Drosophila melanogaster: one gene and its partners. The protein of the gene in region 3 purifies or fractionates together with the protein of the main gene of each other region. This does not show direct contact. Each region holds a gene or a part of one and is shown on either strand. Other genes may lie near its edges.

What was found.
Region 1: the proteins of Taf8 (region 3) and Taf5 purify together in Drosophila melanogaster (affinity purification with western blotting, with the first as the bait; one study listed by BioGRID). This does not show direct contact.
Region 2: the proteins of Taf8 (region 3) and e(y)3 purify together in Drosophila melanogaster (affinity purification with western blotting; one study listed by BioGRID). This does not show direct contact.
Region 4: the proteins of Taf8 (region 3) and polybromo purify together in Drosophila melanogaster (affinity purification with western blotting, with the first as the bait; one study listed by BioGRID). This does not show direct contact.

Annotation. Positions count from the first base shown.
Region 1 is NT_033778.4:10,876,764-10,881,578, forward strand, and holds Taf5 (TBP-associated factor 5), read right to left. Parts: upstream 2,911-4,815; 5' UTR 2,843-2,910; coding exon 728-2,842; 3' UTR 549-727; downstream 1-548. Other genes in the region: nclb (no child left behind), read left to right, coding at 1-453; Pex6 (peroxin 6), read left to right, coding at 3,244-3,270, 3,565-4,077, 4,141-4,815. UniProt on the Drosophila melanogaster protein: TFIID is a multimeric protein complex that plays a central role in mediating promoter responses to various activators and repressors. May play a role in helping to anchor Taf4 within the TFIID complex.
Region 2 is NC_004354.4:19,635,361-19,640,134, forward strand, and holds the start of e(y)3 (enhancer of yellow 3), read right to left. Parts: upstream 3,010-4,774; 5' UTR 2,013-3,009; exon of another isoform or gene 1,492-2,012; intron 1,110-1,491; 5' UTR 1,078-1,109; coding exon 1-1,077. Other genes in the region: Rcd-1 (required for cell differentiation 1), read left to right, coding at 3,950-4,033, 4,086-4,460, 4,536-4,730. UniProt on the Drosophila melanogaster protein: Essential transcription regulator during early development. Coactivates transcription of some euchromatin genes and repress transcription in of euchromatin genes translocated to heterochromatin.
Region 3 is NC_004354.4:18,100,306-18,104,029, reverse strand, and holds Taf8 (TBP-associated factor 8), read right to left. Parts: upstream 2,061-3,724; 5' UTR 1,971-2,060; coding exon 1,823-1,970; intron 1,763-1,822; coding exon 1,328-1,762; intron 1,273-1,327; coding exon 1,144-1,272; intron 1,087-1,143; coding exon 812-1,086; 3' UTR 548-811; downstream 1-547. Other genes in the region: CG7135 (uncharacterized protein), read right to left, coding at 1-349. UniProt on the Drosophila melanogaster protein: TFIID is a multimeric protein complex that plays a central role in mediating promoter responses to various activators and repressors.
Region 4 is NT_033777.3:24,799,449-24,807,248, reverse strand, and holds polybromo (polybromo), read left to right. Parts: upstream 1-1,989; 5' UTR 1,990-2,076; coding exon 2,077-3,028; intron 3,029-3,086; coding exon 3,087-4,678; intron 4,679-4,736; coding exon 4,737-6,189; intron 6,190-6,247; coding exon 6,248-7,215; 3' UTR 7,216-7,282; downstream 7,283-7,800. Other genes in the region: lili (lilipod), read left to right, coding at 1-271, 332-563, 630-838; Ude (Uracil-DNA degrading factor), read left to right, coding at 7,744-7,800.

The DNA of each region.
Region 1 (4,815 bases), on a different chromosome or scaffold from region 3:
GCTGAGGGCGTCAACTCGTCCAGCATTGAGTGGAAAGTTGACGGTGAAGTGGAGAAGGTCCTGTGGCATCCCACACAGACCGACTACTTCATCGTGGGCACCAACGATGGCACCTTGCATTACGCCGACAAACGTTCTCCTGGACAACTGCTGTGGTCCGTAAAGGCCCACAACGAGGAAATCTCCGGTGTGTGCTTCAACAACCAGAAGCCTAATCTGCTGACCTCCACCTCCACGGAGGGCACCCTAAAGGTGTGGAACTTTGATGGCACAGAGGCAAAGCACGTCTACGAGCACGAGTTCAACATGGGTCGCTTGCAGTGCATGCGCCAGTGCCCCGAGGATCCCTACACCCTGGCCTTCGGCGGAGAGAAGCCTCCGCGCTGTGCGATCTTTAACATCAAGAACTCGATAGCCGTGCGCCGAACGTTTGGAATCCCTGATGCAGAGTAGGCAAATCGTACAGCTACGTATTTATCTGTGTATATGCTTTATATGACTTTTAAATAAATATGAATTATATATAAGAACCTTAATGATTGACTTTTATATTAATTAAAATTTATTGATAACTTGCGCATATATGCACTTTACACTTTTATGCTTAAACAACTAATCGACATTTCAGGGGGGATGGGTCACAAACGAAATACAAAACATTAATCCTAAACATTCCGAGCATTCCTTAACACTACATTACGTATACCAAATAAGCTTATCTGTGCTCCTAACTCTTGAATAGACCCACGCACATCAGGAGATTTCGGCGCGTAAAGTGCAGGCTGACAAATGGCGAGTTCTTGCTGGGGAAAGTACGCATGAGGTAGACGTCCTCGTCGTTCTCATCCTGATGGTGCGACACAGTGATGTGATTGCTGATATAGTCTTCGGTAACCTTGTGAAAGTCCCACAGAGTTAGATTGTTATCCAAGCCGGCTGCAGCCAGGACTGTTCCATCGCGACTAAAGGTGATCGTGGTCACAGTGCTAGTGTGCCTCAACAGGGTGGTGACCAGGGATCCGTTCGACAGATCCCAGATGATGATATTGTGATCTACTGAACCCGAGGCCAGATACCGGCCGCAGGCGGAGAAGGCCAGAGAACTCACCGATCCCTTGTGGCCCGTCATCAGGCGTACCGACTGACCGGTCATGTTGTCCCACAGGCGTACCGTGCGATCGCTAGAACCGGTGGCCACATAATTGGAATTGGGATGAAATTGTACACAATCCACGTCCGACAAGTGACCCACGAATACGCGCAACGCTTGATTGGAATCCGTGGCCCACAGACGAGCAGTTTTGTCGTACGAACAAGAAACAAAATAGTAGCCATGCGGCGCAAAGCGAACATCCCACACCGGGTAAACGTGCCCGCGGTAGGTGACTACGCAGGACCAGGTGAGCAGAGACCACAGCCTTATGGTGCTGTCCTCGGAACATGAGAGCAACAGGTTCATCTCGGGGGCAAAGGCACAGCGGTATACGGGTCCGGTGTGACCCATTAAGCTCCTGGTTACCTCACCACTTCGGTCATCCAGCATACGCACATTGATATCCGCCGATTCCTTGTCCAGTTCGCGAAGGGAATCTGCATCCTTCAGCGTACGCAGCTTCGCGGGCGTCAATGACCAAATCCTCACGCTAGAATCGCCAAATCCACAGGCCAACATCGTGGAATCGTCTGAAATCTCGGCACAGGTTACGCCCTGATGGGAATTAAGCACCGTGTAGAAGACGGCAGAGGGCAGTTGATCCTTGCTGAGGGCTAAACGCTTGCTGGCTTCCCTGAGAGCCTTAAGCTTTAGCAACTTGTCCGAATCCTTCAGTTCCGGCAGGGGAATTCTGTCGATGGATGGAGCATTCGGATCCGACTTGGACTTTTTCGACAGCAGGGGATCCTTTTTTGGCTTTTTCTTTTTCGGACGATCCGGGGCATCCGGATCATCGTCCTCCTCCTCTGGTGCCGGCGCTGGAGTGGTCAGAGTCTGAAAGTCCACCTCCTTGAGCAGTCCGTAGTACACCCGCATTTTGTTGTCCTGTCGCTTGGCCTCTCCGAGGTGCGAGCCCGCGGTGGCGACGCACTGCAGCTTGTTGCGCGCCATGCCCTCGTATGTGTCGAAATGCAAGTACTTGGAAACAATATCTGCCACCACTTCCTGCCGGCGATCCTGAATGTGTCGCTTGAACAGAGAGTGCGAGTCCCTGGACATGCGAATGACAAACTTATCCTGCTCCATGGCTACTACGAGGTCATTCTCCAGCAGCTCCTCGGGCTTAGACAGCAAAAGAAGGTTGAAAAGACCCTCTATGTAGTAGCCGTCGAGATCGCATTTGTACTTCTCAATGAATTCTTTGGCCTTCTCCCTTAGTCCACTGGCGAGGATCTTGAAGTAGATCTGCACCAGAATTGGGTACAGAACCATGGACAGCTCATGCTTGTATATGTCCAGGGAGTCCTCAACGAAAGTGCGCAGCTCCTTGTATGCCTGCTCATAGTGCTGAGCATCAAAGCTGTCGTCGTCGATGAACTTGGCCAGTTCCTCTGCAGCATTGGCCTCCGTCACCGCGGACTGTTTATGACCCTGCGCCGGAGATTGGACATGTTTCCGCTCCCGGTTGGCATCGCCAGCTCCCAAAACTGCGCCCAGCACCTGCTGAACATCACTTTCGCTGATTTCCGACAATTCCACACTGCTCACATTCGCCTCTTGGCAGAGCAGCTCCTCAGTGCTCTTCAGCTGGTACTTTTTGATGAGTTTCAGCAGGCACAGCAGCTCACGCTTGTCGTGGGACAATTGAGTACCGTTTCCCCCGTTTATATTGCTCACTTCCAGGCTCATTTTCGCGGAAAATTGAAATATATGGAACTTGTGTACTATTTTGTTATGCGTGGAAAAGTGTGACCAGGTTGGCATCGGTTGAAAACGGCCAAGTGGAGAATGAAATATACTAAAATGCACCAAGTACAGTCAAAATATACAGTAGCCACTAGCGAAGACGGATTCTAAAAATAAATTGTATTAATACATTATAAATTATATCTTTTTGCCAATTTTTGGAATTACTTAAAATATAATGACATATTTCATTCTTTCATTTTACTACAAAATTAATATTTAACTTTTATGCAGGTCAAAGAAATTATTTGAAGATGTGCTTATAAAGGTCTTACTGTGGACAGCTGACTGAATACTTTTAGTATTTTTTGAGCAAATATCTTACCAGAATCAAAACATTCGTAATGAAGAGGAGAGTAATTGTGAAAAAGGTAAAATACAAAGTAACTGGCCAAATAAACAAGCTAATTTTTATAGCAGAGGGTAATAATTTGCTGTGCATTAACAGAATTAACTTGCCATTGCATATTTCAGTGTATTTGTCTGGCGCCTATCCCCCAACTCCTTGAACTTTGACACCGCCTCCTCGAAATTAACCCTTGTACTCGTGCTTTCTGTTGTGTTTAGTCCATATTTATTGTAAAAAATGAATGAAAATGATGATGCGGTAGGTCCATATGTAACATTTAAGCCATATTAGCTAATATCGTGATCAATTCCCGCAGAAAAAAGTCGTCGGCAAGCGGAATTCGGTGTCGTTCGATCAACAAGATCCAGGACAGCCGAGATTTAGCTTCTCTGGGAGAGTACAGGAGCTAGTCGAGGGCTACAATTCGGCCATACAGCTGCTGGCGCCCAAGTGGCCCTGGTTCCTCTACCCCGGATATCTGACATACGCCGTATACTGGCGTTACGCCAAATATTACAAGGGCAAGTTTCTGCTGACCCCCATTCCGAACCGCCTCTACGATCTGCTGATCAAGAACGAGCAGATTAAGTCGGAGCACCTGGTGTTCGCCAGTCAGGAGGTGTACGAAAACTATGCGGAATCGCCGGACGTCAACTTTGTCAACTTGGTTATCCGCGGCAGGAGGGTAAGAATCGGTAAGCCGCTAGCTTCAGACGAAGGAAATATGACCCAAACGGTTATCAAGCAAATGCTCCAGGAGGCGCCGCATACGATTGTGGCCCAGATCTTGCCGGCTGCACAGTGCCAACCCAATTGTCTGTACGTTCAGGTGGGTATCTAGTTCTAAATAAATGGAATATTTTCTATAATTCTACATCGTGTAAAATTTCAGGAGAACTTCTACGGCAACATATTGGATCGCTTTCAAATCCGCTCCAACTGCTGGGTGCAGGTAGAGCATTTTGCCGATGAGCAGACAATACCTGGAATAGCAACCAAAGCACATGTGTACTTAGTCGCAGATCCCCATGAACTTCCCGCCGAACTGACAGAGGTCATCCTGAGCAACTATTTCAATACACCTCGACTCATGCATCGTGGACATACCTACCGCATCGAGGTGAACGCAGAGTTGGTGGGCACTGCGACTTATGCCCACTATTACCTGATATTCGCTCACCTACGCCACGTCCACCTAAAGTGTATTCACCTGGAGACAAAGGGCAGCGAGTTCGAGCTGCAAGCGATTGTTGCCAAAAACTTTAGCAACCTTGTTCAAGTGCCTGCATCTCACAGTTTCCTGCCTCGTCAAGTGCTTGACAGCATGGCCATCGTTGAGAACTATCCAAGTGGACTTCGAAAGCCCTATAAGCTGTTGCGCTCCTCAGTAGATGCTTTCCTGCCAAAAAAGTCCGCCTGCCTGTCGTCAAAGCACATATTTCCTGTGTTCCTCCTGCAAGGCGAGCGAGGATCGGGCAAATCAAAGCTTGTGAGCGCCGTAGCCCAAGAGTTGGGGATGCATATTTACGGAGCAGATTGCGCAGAGATCGTTTCGCAAGTTCCCTCC
Region 2 (4,774 bases), 1.5 Mb from region 3:
TGTCTTGATCATCAGCTTGGGCACCGTCTGCATCTCCGCCAGTGAGGACGACGACGACGATGAGGAGGAGGACGAGGCAGATGAAGACGAGGCGGATGCGGGCGAGAGGCTGGACAGGTGGGCATCGTTCTTGGCGGGCATAGCTGACTGGGCGCCACTCACAGCTGCTGAGCACGATCCAGAGTTGGAGTTGGAGCCGGAAGCAGCCGGATTCTCAGGCAACTTGATGGTCAGCTTAGGCACCACGCTGCCTACGCGCCTCTCGTTCGCGGCGCGGATGGTCAGCTTTGGCACAATGTGCGGGGTGTTTCGTAGTTGTTGGCCGAGGGTGGTAGCCACCTCGTCCTCGGCGCACGACGAGGAGCAGGAAGAGGCGTCCGCATCGAAGGCATCTTGCTGCTTCGCAACCAAGCCTCCTTCCGCTCCGCCGCAGGGCAGCTGAATGCGCAGGGGCTCCACGCGCCTCTCATCTCCGCCCGGCTGAGATTCATTTGCGTTTGAGTTGGGATTGGCGTGCTTGGAGAGCTTCAGGATGATCTTATGTCCATCCCGCTCCTCGCTCTCTACCTCAAGCGCCGTAGCGGCCATCGGTCCACCTGCTGCTCCCGCTGCTGATGCTGCTGATGGTGCTTCTCCGGATGCTGAGCTGGCCGATGCAGATGCTCCAGTTGTGCTTGGGGCATCGTCGCACGGCGTCGTCGGCGGTGGCAGCGTCGGCGGAGGCGACGCTGTGGTGCTGGTTATATGGCCGGGCTGATTATGCTGGTGCTGCAGTGCCTCCTCCCGCTGCTGCTGCTGCTGTGGCTCTGGCTCCTGTTCCCGGTCCCGATCTGCATTCAGCTGCTGATCCCGCTGGGCTGGCGACGACGTGGAGCTAACTCGCTGCTCCTCCTCGCTCGTGCTGCTCGCTGCCACTGACTTGGCGTTGCTATTAGCGCTACAGTTAGACTGGGGGCGACCTGCTGCTCCGGCTGATCCTGCTGTGGACGTGGCGGCTGCCGATTCTACCGCTGTTCCCGATTCCGATCCTGATGACGATGTCGCTGCTACCATCTGCTGCTGACGTAAATCATTCATTGCTATATTCGATTGTCCAGTGGGCCGCCAGCCTGCAAAAAGAAGTGGACGATACTTTAGATCAGGGTGCATGATAGCAGTCGATAAGATTCGGGACTTTCAACAACTAATTCTTAAATTTGCATGTGAAATCAATCCTAAAGAAAACCGCCAATACAGCATATAATAATGCGTATAATTGCCGCTCCAAGGGATGCATTTTGTTTACACTAAAAAGAGACAATTTGAAAAGGGGAACGACCTACAGACACACACACCCACAAATACACTCATACATACATACATACATATATGTACATTTGTACATACACACTTATTGGAGCCCAATGAAAGAATAAAATTGAATGAAAGCCGGGTAGAGTTACGAACTAATTATAGCACATGTCTAAACAATTAAACCGTATTTGTAAATACCGAAGGACGCGCAGGTTTAAACAGTCGCCAGCCGAAAATTCCGATGAAAATGCAATACGATTTTCCGGCGCTGAAAAACTACCGCTCGAAATTGCCGCGAAAAACTTCAAGCGAAATAAACACAAGAAGAACCACGGCGAGGGCAACAACAACAACACTTAATAAATAATAAGCGCTGCAAACATGCGCACACAGCTGTCGACTGGGGGAGAACGTGAAAAGGCAGGAGGAAGATGAGGATGAAGCGGAATGGCTATGGCGTTGAGCGCAGAGGAGCGCAGCGAAGCAGCGGGATAGGCAAATACTGAGAAAGCCGCGCCGCCACGAATTATGGCCTGTTTGTTACTGGTGTGTGCTGGCAACACTGACGCGAATTCACCACGCTGGCGGCCAAATCCACCACAAGCAGTCGATGCCGCTGCATGGAGAAAATCCACACACACACACACACATACGAAGGAGCACGACACGCACACACTCATATGGGTTGGTTGCCCTGGCCTGCGTATATGTATGCTTACATTTCTACTGGCCAAATGCAAGCATCTATCTATCTGCACTAGGACTAATATTATTGTGAGCACGATTTTAGAGCGCAATATCGACAGCCAGTGCACTGGCAACAAAATTAGCAACAACGACGCCGCCGCCAAAGCCCTGACCCAACACCACCACTACAACCACTACCACTACCAATACCAACGACAACAACAATAACGAACGGGGCAAAGAAGAAGCAGCAACGACAAGCAAACGGCAAACTCACCATGCGGCAAAGTCGTCGCTCAGAGACAGACAAAAGAAGATGGTGGAGTAGAAGAGCGCCTGCTTTTGATTTGCGTGCACAATTCGCGATTGCGATTTGGATTTGCTATTTCGTTTGCCTTTGCCTTTGCTGGCATTGGCATGCTCATATTTCTATGCACTTTGATTGATGCTGCGCGACGCCGTGCGGCAATTTTCTTTTTTAGGCGTTCGGCGTTGTTGGGCGAGAAGTAAAACACATTTTTCCATACGATTCAATGCGATTTCGAAGCACGGGCAACACTCGACTCTCGGCCGCAGTAGGCACTACTCGCACGCACACATCGGCGGTGCACACGCATGCACACACACACACACAACAGCAACAGAACGGCACACACACACACACGCTCAGTCGTACGCACACAAAGGCAGCGACACAGAGACAAGCGCAACGAGCTCTCTCAGTCGCCGTTGTCCCACTTTCCGTGTATTGGTTTCGATTCGTACACTTTTCCACGCACTTTTAACGATTCAAATTCGATGGTACAGAAGGCAGGGCGACACGAGAGTGCATTGGAAACTGGCGCAAACCTCAAAAAAATATATCCAACACGCTGGCCGCACGCACGACTCGTATGCAGACTGGTTCTCGGCGCGCGTCGAACGTTCTTATGCATTCATTATTGAACGGAATGCTCTGTTTCGCCTGTCTGCTTATGTTTTTTTCTTTTCGATTCCGAGGTACTCGTCACGACAAATGAAAATCAGTGTGGCCGTTTTGCGGCTGTCAGCTAGATACCCGGCTGGCGGGGAATGTGCTAAGAAATACCACAAAATCGACGGGGATAGCCGGGATACAAACCAGTCGGTGCACTTGACTACCGCTAAATGCGTCTTTACTAAATTGCATTTTTAGCTTTTAGCATGCAAATTATGAACTATAACCTAATTAAAATACCCATTATGGTTATTACTTTTGATCAATGTAATCATCGGTCATTCGCAATCACGCGCTCACGTCCATTCATTATTTCTTTGCAATGTCATCCTTTTTCAAAGATATCAAGCCTATTTTCTTCAAAATTGTAGACTTTTGCATTTTGCACCAACAAAGCATGCGCAAGCAGTTGTATTTGGCAAATCATGTTTGATTTCATTCAGACTTTGTGTTTTCGTACGGCGGGAAGTTTCTCTGAAAATTTAAATTTATGTACATATTTACATCGACGCTGGAAAACAAATAGCGCGCTTGCGTTTCACCAATTTCCAGCGGCATTTGCGCGGTTCTGGCCACACTGTTCGGCACACAACATAATCCTGGTTGTCGCCACTTGTTTTCGATCATTTTAGACTTAAACCAATGCAAAAGGAATTTCCTGCTAACGTTATCGATAATCGCAATAGACGCCAAATCGCCAGTTTTACCTCTTCCTTTTTCGCAGGCCCCGTTCCGTTCAGCGAATTCTCGCCCGAGCTAAGTCTATTGCAAGCGTCCGGCTATAGAAATCGACGACAAATCGCTAGTTCCACCTCTTCCTTTTCGCAGGCCCCATTCCGTTCAGCGAACTCTCGCCCGATCTAAGCGTCCGGCGATAGGAATCCACCTCTTCCTTTTCGCAGGTCCCGTTCCGTTCAGCGAGTTCTCGCCGACACTAAGTGCATTGCAAGCGTCCGGCGACAGTTCTTACCCAGATCTTGTCAAGTTAACACGATGAGTGCTCAACCGAGTCCGCATATGAATCCTCAGCAGCAGCAGCAGCAGCAACAGCAGCAGCAGCAGACCGAGCAGGAGAAGGTAAGCCGATGTCGGCAAGAACGCGTGCTAGCTTTAACTTATCGCCCGCCAGGTGTACCAGTGGATCAATGAGCTGGCCCATCCGGACACGCGTGAAACCGCTCTGCTCGAGCTAAGCAAGAAGCGTGAGACGGACCTGGCCCCCATGCTGTGGAACAGCTTCGGGACCGCCTGCGCCCTGTTGCAGGAGATTGTTAACATCTACCCATCGATAACGCCGCCCACTTTGACGGCCCACCAGTCGAACCGCGTGTGCAACGCCCTGGCGCTGCTGCAGTGCGTCGCCTCGCACCCGGAGACTCGCACGGCCTTCCTGCAGGCCCAGATACCGCTGTACTTGTACCCTTTCTTGTCGACCACGTCCAAGACCAGGCCCTTCGAGTACTTGCGCCTGACCAGTTTGGGCGTGATTGGTGCTCTGGTCAAGGTAGGTTAAGCCGAAGGCCAGTGGTCATCTAATGCACTAATGCACTTGTTGTCTTCTTATTACTGCTATCGACAGACCGACGAACAGGAGGTGATCACCTTTCTGCTGACCACCGAGATCGTGCCCCTTTGTCTGAGCATCATGGACAGCGGATCGGAGCTGAGCAAGACTGTGGCCACTTTCATCATCCAGAAGATCCTGCTCGATGAGTCGGGTCTGTCGTACATCTGCCAGACCTACGAACGCTTTTCGCACGTGGCCATCACCCTGGTGAGTGTCCGTTTCCCGAAGCCTTATGCATTGTCTAAGGGTCT
Region 3 (3,724 bases):
AAGCGCTGAAACTATCCACCGCCCTCCACATGAGTGCCTCCAGCTTGGGCTTGATGTGCATGTAGAAAAGCGTCTCCTTGTTATAAATGTGCAGGCGGGCCAGAATGGCCTGCTTCTCGTCCGGCATGGACTTGACGATCAGGGATGTCTCCATTGCGCAGCTCTCGGCATTGCGATACTTAATCTGAGCTCGGTAAATGTTGCTGCAGTAGTTTTCCCCGCCACGCGTCAGATTGGTCAGCTGGACACCGATGACCTGCAGGTCCAGCTGCTGCAATCCGTGCTCCAGGGTGCGCCTGAAGAACTGCGGCGTAAGGTACAATGGTGGCTCCTCCAGTGCGTCCGACATCGTGTATCCGTAAATTGCAATTGTGGCGGTGAACAGCCGGCTTTTTATGCAAAATCTCGGAGAGCACTTGCCGATGCCTCATTTGTTGCCTAATTGATCTTAATGGACAGGGCACGACTGGACCTTCCTCAATTGCCTTGATGGAAGTGCATTTGCCGCTGGATTAGCGGTTTGCAGATTGAAGAACATAGCCGATTTGCAGATCTTCCAGCACAGATCGTTGCTGGAGTACCCATTTATTTTATTATTTAAATATATAACACGAAATATTATGCCATTTTGAGGAAATTGGCCCTATACAATGTCTTCAGTTCAAACTTAAAGATTCCAAATATGTAAGTATAAAATAAAATATATTAGTCCTTGAACCTAAAACTACACTTTAAATTTTTTAATTTTTTAAATTTAAAGAAAACAGGAGTGTTTACATTTTCAAACCATAATTAAAAACGCCTGCTACTCTTAAAGGTTAGTTTTGGTTATCTCTAGAGTGGAGGGCGTTCGTATCGTTGGCGCCGTGGTGGCCAGACTCCTGCTGGGCATGGTTCCGGGTGTGGGGCAATTTTTGGATCGCTTGGGCAGAGTAGCCGCCCGCAAATAGGGATTATCGATGTTGGGGTTCTCCAAAATGGCCTTGTTTGTGTTGGAATTGGGCTTGATATCCAGCTCGGGCTTCTCCTCTTTGGATTTGTCGCCATCCATCTCCTCGTTTTCGCTATCGCCCTCTTCGCCGTCGTCTAAAAGGGTGGAAAGTGTTAGCACTCGTGGCATCTGACTATTTGAAAGAAACGCACCTTTGCTGGGCTCATCTTCTGTGCGATTGGCCACCAGATAGTGGTACTCCAGCTCCTCGAAGTCAAACACCTGATCTGTGGGATTTAAAGCGGCTGCATAGGGAGGAAAGGCCGGTTTGCAGGCAATTACTGAAAGGAAATGGTTATTAATTATTGTTCGCTGGATGATTATGGTGCCTCTTACAAGGAAACATGTTGTCCTCGGTGGGAAAGAGGTTGTTCGTCTCCGTGGTCTTGCAGAGGAACTTTGTGAGCGCCTTCTCGATGTCCCGCTTCTGGCAGGCGGCCTTCTCCCTGATGGCCTCGTACTCTGTTACGGGCTGCTTGTGCGTGGGCGTCCGTATGTAGGCGTGCGGATCGGGCATGGGAGGGAAGTAGCTGGGCACGTAGTGGGGATGCGGGGCCTTGATGCCCGCTTGCAGCAGACTCAGCGGGCGCTGCTGCGTCTGCTGTGGGGGCAGTGGAATGGGCACGTGCGTCTCCTTGCGCATGTACGGATCCAAATTGGAGATCGAAATGCCCATGTTAATCAGGGCCAAACTGACATCGCCCACGGTGGGCATCGTGCGTCCACTTAGCTCGCAGTAGTTATGCGCCGAATTGCCGATCTCCCAGATCACTGGAATGGCGTGCTAAATGATTATCCTAGTACAAAATGGTAATCACAATGTCAACTTACACGCCTGCAGCATCTGGGTGAGCGTCTCCAGGCTGTGGTTGCTCGCTTGGCCGGCCCCCTTGTCCAATAGCAGCTGGGACACCACCTTGTTTAGGATCCGCCTATAGGGATCAACATTGGACACTGTTACCGCCTCCACCTTCTCCATGGAGACAGAATTCAATTTGTTTATGCTAAAGTAGAAACCGCAGTGAATATTGCCACTTTAGCGGCTAGTGATGGCACTGTTCGGCACTATCGACTACAGCTATCGGCGCAACGCTCCTTATGAGTTCAAGTGCAACTCCACTGGTTATTTCAATATTTCATCTGGCATTAAGATTTTATGTTAGTTAAACCAAGGCTTGGCATTATAAATCCTAAATTTTCAGTTCTTAAGAGTTTATTGAAAAGCTCAGTGGAAAAACACGTCACCAGAGATTGTTAAACTGATGAAAGACATTTTAAATTCTGAACTAAGTCCTAGGAAATAAAGTAAAAGTTATTTTATGTATTTATAGAAACAGGCAATTTTTTAATAATTCCAACAAACTAGTTAGTTATTCCCCTGCATAAGTCTAAAGCATCTTTTTAAGATAAATTCTCAACCATTATTAAATAAAATCGCTGAGGCGTCAACTTATTTATAAGCTGCATTACACAGCAATAACATATTATAATACAATTTTACTGTACTATATTACTTCTATATTAGTAGTTATTACTGTACACTTCTACTATTCCACACTACTTAGTCATACACTATACCATAGATTCCTCAAATTGCCTTATAATATTTTTAATATAAAATGATGACTGGGCAAACATCGGTAGTCGATGGTTGGTTCAAAAACAATCGATATATAGAAAGGAGTGCATCGCAGGTGCACCATCTCCAACAAATCAGTGTATTTTTTGTTGTTCTTTGCCAAACAATAGAAGACGAACGTACTCGGAAGTAAATTAAACAAAATCGGGCGACCGGATCGGGCGTTAATCGTTAATTGTTCAATTAAATGCAGCTTATTAGGCGCCGGGCTGCATAGTGCGATCGCAGAGTCACCGAGTGGACCGGGCCCCCTGGCGCTATAGTCGCAATCCGAACCCGAATCGCTCCATCGGGAATCTTTAATTGTGTACGTATATATGGATGAATATGGATGGATGTGTGTGGATGCTGCGTTGACTAATGTTTTTCGGATGGGGTATAGAACAAATGTATAAATGGATGGCTGAGTATTGGGAGGGGGATAGCCACTCGAACTTCCTAGCAATTTGCACTTATAATTGGAATCGTGTGCGGTCTTTTTCGAATGGATTCTATTTTTAAGCTCCGTGCTCCGTGCTCCACTTTGGTTATCAGCCGGAGTTTCCCCACTTCCCCAGAGTTGTGTTGCATATACATATGTACTAGCTGTAATCCTCTTTCTTTGTCTGCGCGCCAAAGAGTTTTCATTTCGAAACCTTAGAAAGTCTAGGTGGACAGGGAAAAATAAAATCTTGATTAATGATCGATGGGATATTACTATGAAAAACAATATTATTAACAACAGTTAATAGTAGTTAATATTGTATACTAACTCCCTATGAGCACTTTTACGTAATGATAAACAGAACAGAATTCATTTCATTGATCACATAATGGCACCTTTAACCATATCAATATTAATATATTAACAAAACAAGCACTGCTTTGGTTCGTTTGTTTTGTTTTTGGGTAGTATCCCTGGTCCGACTTTTGTTTATTGCATTTGGCTGGTGGGTTTTTGCAGTTTTACAGATGACTCAGAGCTGTCGGCAGTCACCTGTCTATGTATATCTTATCAGTAATTAAATACAGAACATATTGACAATCGAGAAAACACACAAAATTGTAAAAAAAAAGAGAGTCATCTCCTCCATTCTATTCCGTTGTAAAGTGCG
Region 4 (7,800 bases), on a different chromosome or scaffold from region 3:
CCAGCCACTGCTGCAACACTCCCAGGCTCATCTATACCAGCGCAAGGCGATGGCCAGTGACGTGGACGAGCTCAACGATAGACTAAGAGAACTGGACTCCGAGCGCAAGGAACTAGACAAGCTGCGCACATCGAGCACCTTCCAACGCACATTCGTCTATCCGCTGGCCATGCTGCTGCTGCTCTTCTGCACAGCTGTCACCATTCTGCTGGTTGTGCAGAATACACTAGAGCTCCTTATTGGCATTAAGGCGCTGCCACTAAGCACAAGGGTAGGTCTAACTGCAGGGATCGTAAGACGAATGCTTATTGAGTTTGTTTCCCTTATTTAGCAATTCGCATTGGGCATCTCTTCGCTCTCGAAGTTGGGTCCCTTTGGTGCCGGCCTGGAGGTGTGTCTCATCTTCTATCTCGGCGCCACCTCGGTGGTGGGCTTCTACAGCATGCCGTTCATGCGCAAGGTTTGTCCCAAGCGGCGCCAGACTTCGCTGCCACAGCTAATGCTGAACTGTGGCTTCATGCTGGTTTTGTCGTCGGCATTGCCGCTTCTCAGCAGGATCATAGGTAGGCTGTGGCAAATTACTAATGAATAATACAGTGTTTAAAAGCGACTATTATTGATTCTTACAGGCATCACAAACTTTGACCTGCTGGGTGATTTTGGAGCCATCGAGTGGTTGGGAAACTTCCAGATTGTATTGCTTTACAATTTGGTTTTTGGAACCACAACTGCCCTGTGCTTGGCAAACAAATTCACGGCTACGGTGCGCCGGGAGCTAAGAGCCCGGTTAGTGGAGAACTATGTGCTCTTTACTAACTACATTAGCTTCATCAACTGATATTGGCGCAAGCGACACGACAATGCGTTTTGTATAAACCGACAGGAGGTGAGGCGCCTTGTCGAGTCGCCGCTAAAGAGCCTAACAAGTTTCTATACCAAGTATCGTAACCTTAGTCGTAAGAGCAGTCGCAATACCACCGCTAGTCGCAAGGCAAACGAAATGAACTGTTAAGACACGAGAAAAACATGGGAGATGGGCAGCTGAAACTATATAATATACCTTTACATATGTTATATGATCACGTATAGTTGTGCAGAACTGATACTAATATTTAAATTTTGCAATGTTAACTGTTGTGCTTAATTGTTGTACTTTATACAGACAGAGTCCTCACAGTGCACCAGCATATCACTGTGGTGCCAGTAAACACAGAACAATGGCACTCGTGTACCATGATATTCGCAGAAATCTCGCCAATAACTAGCATGTAAATAGAAGATGTAATTGTGCAACATAAGCCGCAGTCAATTTGCAGTAGGCGTAGTTTAGAATTTCGTTTCTTGTCGTTCAGAGTGAATTCCATTTCATACATGTTTTTCGCTATTTATCCACGTATATTTCAGTTATTTTTATAAGATTTTAACAATGTTCCTTAAGCAGCGAAACGATGAGGCGTGTTCATTTCATTTTACGGCATACTCAAATCTGTAACCCAATATTCACACAATCACACACTAACAAGCGTCTAAAACTTATGTGATAAAAAATAATAATAAACAAAGCATTTTACTAAATTAATCGAAATATCATGGCTTTTTAATTGCGCGCTTGCGTTTTGCTGACTTTTAAATTAAATATTGTTCTGTTTAACTTTTTTTTCAGCCTAACTTCGTTGTTTCTATTGGCTTGAATGCCTTTTTTCGAGAAGGAGCTAATTTAAGGAAAACTACCTACGATATTGCTGTGATTCAATGACTTAATTAAAACTTTAAATGATGCTTTAGGGATGCTATAATAAAGAACTTAAGTAAAATGATGTTCAGCTTGTTTATTTGGTTAAGAAATATGATTTTTGGTGGGAACATACCATTTAAAATAATATTCACCACCGCGCGCTTCGATTACGATAACTCACCACGCAAGTGGCCGGCTATCGAACTATATATCGACCGCGCACTATCGAACCTTTCGCCCACCACTACTTTTTCGCTCATTCCCAGAATTTGTGGCATTTTGTGTGGCGTCTTATTATCGGATATTTAGATTTTAACTGTAATAAGAACAGGGATAACACGATGCTGAGCCGCAAGCGCCGGGCGAGCAGCATATCCAGCCGGCAGGACGAGGATCCGCTGCAGCTGGACGACTCGACGCCGGAGCAGTCACCGGTGCAGCAGACGACGACACAATCGGCGCGAAAAAAGCGCCGTCTCGATCCCACAGAACTGTGCCAGCAATTGTACGATTCCATAAGGAACATAAAGAAGGAGGACGGTTCAATGCTGTGCGACACCTTCATCCGCGTGCCGAAGCGCCGGCAAGAGCCCTCGTACTATGACGTGGTGGTCAATCCCATTGATCTGCTCAAGGTTCAGCAGAAGCTGAAAACCGATTCCTACGACGATTTGGATGATCTGATGGCCGACCTGGAGCTGCTTATTGGCAATGCCAAGGCCTTCTACATACCGGGCAGTAGCGAGCACCAGGACGCAGTCTCTCTGTGGCAGCACATTCATTCGCAGAGACAGCGCATTATGGAGGCAAATGGATTGGCGGAGGAGGAGCCGCGTGCCAGACGCATGTCGCGCCAAGTGCGCCGAATGACCAGCAGCACTGAACCTGGTGGCGATGGAGCAACTGATGACGAGTACAACCAGTACGAGGAGCTCTTCGCCTCCGTTATGACCGCTACCGATCCCGTGGGCGATCGGTTAATGCACCGCATGTTCCAACTGCTGCCCTCCAAGAAAATCTATCCAGACTACTACGATGTCATTGAGCATCCCATTGATCTGCGCCTGATTGCGACCAAAATACAAATGAACGCTTACTCCTCGCTGGCGGAGATGGAACGGGATCTGCTACAAATGACCAAAAACGCATGTCTGTTCAACGAGCCTGGTTCTCAGATCTATAAGGACGCCAAATCCCTGAAACGGATCTTTACGCAGCGGCGTATTGAGCTGGAGATGGGCAAAGGCAAGCTGGCTAAGCGCGTCAAGAGTCTCTCCAGTGCAGCAATTGCTGGTAAGATTAAAAAAAACATTTTTTTTTCTTTTTTGTATATAAATTATTCTTTTTCCAGCACTAAAAGAGGAGGTTGACAGCTCGGACGACGAGGAGACCAGCAAAAAGGGCGAGGGGCCCATGTGGGCATTGTTCGATCACTTGTACAACGCACCAGGAACTTCGGAACATCCGGGAGTTACTGGTCCTCCATTGGGAAACTCTCTATGGAAACTGCCAGTTCGTCGTTTCCATCCCGAATATTTTGAGCTGATCAAACGACCCATATCTATGAGCCAAATCCACACAAAGCTCAAAAAGGGCGATTATGCGAACATTAGTGATCTCACCGCCGATCTATATCTCATGCTGGACAACGCCAAAAAGGCGTTTCCGACGTCCCATCGCACTCACAAGGATGCGCTGAAAATGTTAAAGCTAATGAATGCCAAGCTGGTGGAGGAGTCTCTCGAGGAGGGCAGTGATCTGGATGACGAGGATGCAGAGGAAATGGACACAGAGGTATTTACGGTTAGCACGCAGCCGGAAAAGCGCAAGCCGGGCAGACCCCGCATCAACTCCAATTCGAACTCTAACGCCTCCCATACACCAAATAACTCGAATTCACCCAAATCAAATCGCATTGCCATCAACGCGGCTATTAAAAAGAAGATTCTGAGCATACAGAAATATTTGGTGGACTACTCCTTGGGCAATCGTCGTCCCATCGAAATGTTTATGGAAAAGCCGCCTCGCAAGATTTATCCGGACTACTACGATATCATTCAAAACCCCATTGACATGAACACTATCGAGCATAACATTCGCACAGATCGCTATGCCGCCGTGGAGGACGTGGTATCCGACTATCGACTTATGTTTTCCAACTGCCGACAGTATAATGAGGAGGGCTCTAACATATACGAGGATGCCAATATATTGGAACGAGCTCTAAATGAAAAGCTCAAGGAGTTCCCTGGTCTTACAGAGGGCAAAAAAAGCCAGCAGAAGTACAGCAAGGTGGGAAGAAAGTTAAAGACCGCTGTAATTACAGAGCGGCTGTGGCAATTCTATGAAACAGTAAAGGAGTACCAGGAGCCCAAGGGTAAGAGGCAGCTGTCGCTTATATTTACGAAGTTGCCATCCAAGAGCGAGTATCCGGACTACTACGACATTATCAGGGAACCTATTGACATGGACCGAATCGCTCAGAAACTTAAACAGGGCGCTTATGATACCTTAGATGACTTGGCAGCGGACTTTCTGCTGATGCTGGAGAACGCCTGCAAGTATAACGAGCCAGACTCGCAGATCTACAAGGATGCGCTCGTGCTACAACAATTGACACTGCAGCTGAAGCAACAACTGCGCACCGAGCGCGATTCTCTTCCGGATGTTCCTTTGGCTGTTCAGGAGCTGTTCCTCACACTGTTCACGACTATTTACAATCACCAGGACGAGGAGGGACGTTGCTACTCGGATTCCCTGGCCGAACTGCCGGAGTACGATGAGATTGGCGAAGGACCCAAGGTTCGCGGCATTTCGCTGGACCTTGTAAAACGAAGGCTTGACAAAGGAGCTTACAAACGGCTTGATGTTTACCAGGAAGATATTTTTGCCTGTTTGGAACGTGCAAGAAAGTTGTCCCGCACAGATTCGGATATTTTTCAGGTGAGTAATAACTACAATAATAGAAGCATTGTACTATTCTAAGAACAAACTTTTCCAGGACTCCATCGAGTTGCAAACATACTTCATTCGCAAGAGAGACGAGTTATGCAAGGACACACTTAGCTCATCCGCTTTAAATTTTAGTCTAGAACGCCTTATGGCTGATGTGGAGCTGTGTCGCCAGCAAAAAATGCAACAAGAGGAACAGGACCAAGAGCAGGATAAGGAGAAGGATGAATTCAATGCAGCCAAGGGTGAAAGCATGACAATAAACCAGCAGGTGTTTTCTCCCGGCGATTACGTATACGTGCAAATGCCGGAAAACAAGATTCCCTCGATATGCTGCATAGAGCGCCTCTGGACATCACCCACCAATGAGAAGCTGATGCAGGCTTCGATCTTTGTACGGCCCCACGAAACGTACCATGTAACCACTCGCAAGTTCCTCGAAAAGGAAGTGTTCAAGAGCAGCCTTTCGCAGACCATCTCGATGGATAAAGTGCAGGGCATGTGCTACGTAATGAACATAAAGGATTACATCAAGATGCGTCCGGAAAACTTGCCTGAAAAGGATGTTTACGTTTGCGAGTCTCGTTACAATATCCAAGGTCGCTGGTTCAAGAAGCTGAAGAGCTGGCCGCCAGTCCGTGAAGGCAGCTCGGTGAAGTTCGTTCCACGAGAGCAGCCATTGGAGTTAAAACGTGTGATGTCTGTGTTTAAGGAGCGTTTGGAAAAGCACAAAGGAGAACTGGAGGAGCTGAAGCTCCAAGAGACGCTGGTCGAAAAGGAGAAACCAAATGTGTCTTGCGATCCGCCGCCAAATGCTGAGGTTGGCAGCACGTACTACCAGCAGTACAACACCATTTGCAGTGGGGCCATAAAAACGGGAGACTTTGTTTACGTGGCCACCCAAACAGGAAAGCAGTCGGTGGCACAGGTCCAGCAGATTTGGGAGCAGAATGGAAAATCATACTTTAAAGGTCCATGGCTGTTACCACCCAGCGAGACGACCCCCGGCTTGGGCAAGCAATTTTATCGCCAGGAACTGCTGCTGAGCACAGTCGAAGAGGTCAGTCCGGTGGTGGGCATCGTGGGTCGTTGCGCCGTCCTGGAGTACTCCGAATTTATCAGCTCCCGACCCACGGAGATATCCGAAAGCGATGTGTACATTTGTGAGTCCGTCTATGATGAGCTAAAGAAAGCTCTTCGCAAGTTGGTTACGGGCAACATGCGCAAGTTCCAACACAGTCCTTCTGTCACCGAGGATGAGATCTTTTACTTTAAGACTCCCATTAAGCCCTCCAAGGACTTTAAGAACGAATTGAATGAACTGGGCATGCTAGAGGATTCAATGGATGGGGATACACCCTCGCTGAGCTCAGACATTGCGGCCATGTCCTCGCCGGCTCCTTCAGTAAACTCCACGCCACTGACGTCCAAAGTTAAGGCCGCCAAATCGGCCAAAAAATGTCTTACCGGTTACATTTTGTACTCTAGTGAAGTTCGAAAAAGTACGTTTATTTAGTATACTTTAAAGATCATGTATAACCGTTGAACTTTCTTTTACAGGCATTTGCCAGAGCAACCCGGACGCAACCTTTGGAGACATATCCCGCATGGTGGGCACCGAATGGAAGAATCTGCCCTCCAGCGTTAAGCAGAGCTGGGAGGATAGGGCTAGCCGACAGAATGAGGAGACGGCGGCCCTACGGCGCGAGTTGGACGACGTCCAGAACAGTGCGAGTCCCTCATCCCAAGTTTCGCAGGATGTCTTTGGACAGGTGCTCACCTTTGAGTGTCAGTGGGATAAGTGCGACTTTCAGTTCGAGGAGCTTAGCGACTGCACGGAACATTGCATGTCCGATAGCACCGGACACATCCAGCGCCATCCACAAGCGGGCGTGGAGACGGAGTATGTCTGCCTGTGGCGCAACTGCCCGCGGGTCAAGAAGTCTGTTCAGGCCTTTCCTAACGTTCTGCGCCTCATCAAGCATGTGCGCGAGGTCCATCTGAGCAAGTGTGGCAAGACGATTTCGGCGGCAGACCGCAGCAAGAATTTCGTGCCGCGTCGGCAGAAGCATGCGCAACTGGCCACTACTGTGCCCATCCCGCCCAGCCTTGCGCAATCGCCGCGCGCTCCAAGCAATCTCGAGGCAGTGCAGCTCCAGCAGCAGCAGCATCCGCAGCAGAACATGCACCAACTGCAGCAACAGCAAACGATCGTCTTGGGTCCGCCACCAGAGCCGCTCTTCGTCACAGTGCCGCCGCGCACCACTCGCGTCATCCACTCGGAGGCCTACATTAAGTACATCGAGAGCCTGCAGACGGGCAGCCATCTGAACGTGGTCACCTGCAACAACAATTGGCGGCGTGCACTGACCCACATCACACCCGCACAGGTGGTGGCCAAGACGGCGCTACCCGAGAAGTGGATCGGACCGAATCTGCGCGACCAGGGCAACGTGGTGCAGGCACTGTGCCACCTGCGCAACTTCATGGTCGACGATATACTTCAAATACGGCGCAGTTGCAACTAGCCCATCGTTCACCGCTAAGCCCAAAGCTTTTTGAGTTCCATGTTAATAAACAACACAAACAAATTATAACAATTTTCGTATTGATTGGGGAAAATATATCATAATAAATATGATTGCAAATATAACGACAGCAATGTCATATTACATGCTTTAATATGCAGAGCGGCGTTTAATTAGGTAATTAATACTTAAGATCGTTTATTTCCTCTCAATGTTATCAGTTTCTCGTGGCGCTGACGTCATGGCTAAGTATCGATTATTTTCTCGTGGGTTTTGTTTTGCTCCGGTGCTACGACAACAAACCGGTTTCCAAACATAGAGTCACCCAGTTATTTTGTGGTGCTTATCTAATTGGCCACGCTCAGCTCTGATCAGTGCCTCTCAGTGGTGCTCATTTTGCGTCTTCCTCCCATGATTAAGTGCCATATGCCGTCGAGTTGGAGACGGCTACGCAAAATCAGTCGTATTCTAGCGCTGACAGGAAGCAGACAGATACTCACCCAAGTATTAGCAACCAAAGGAGCAGCAATGGCAGAGGGAGATTCGAAATTTGGCTTCAAGGACATGGAGAAGGCGTTAGAGACG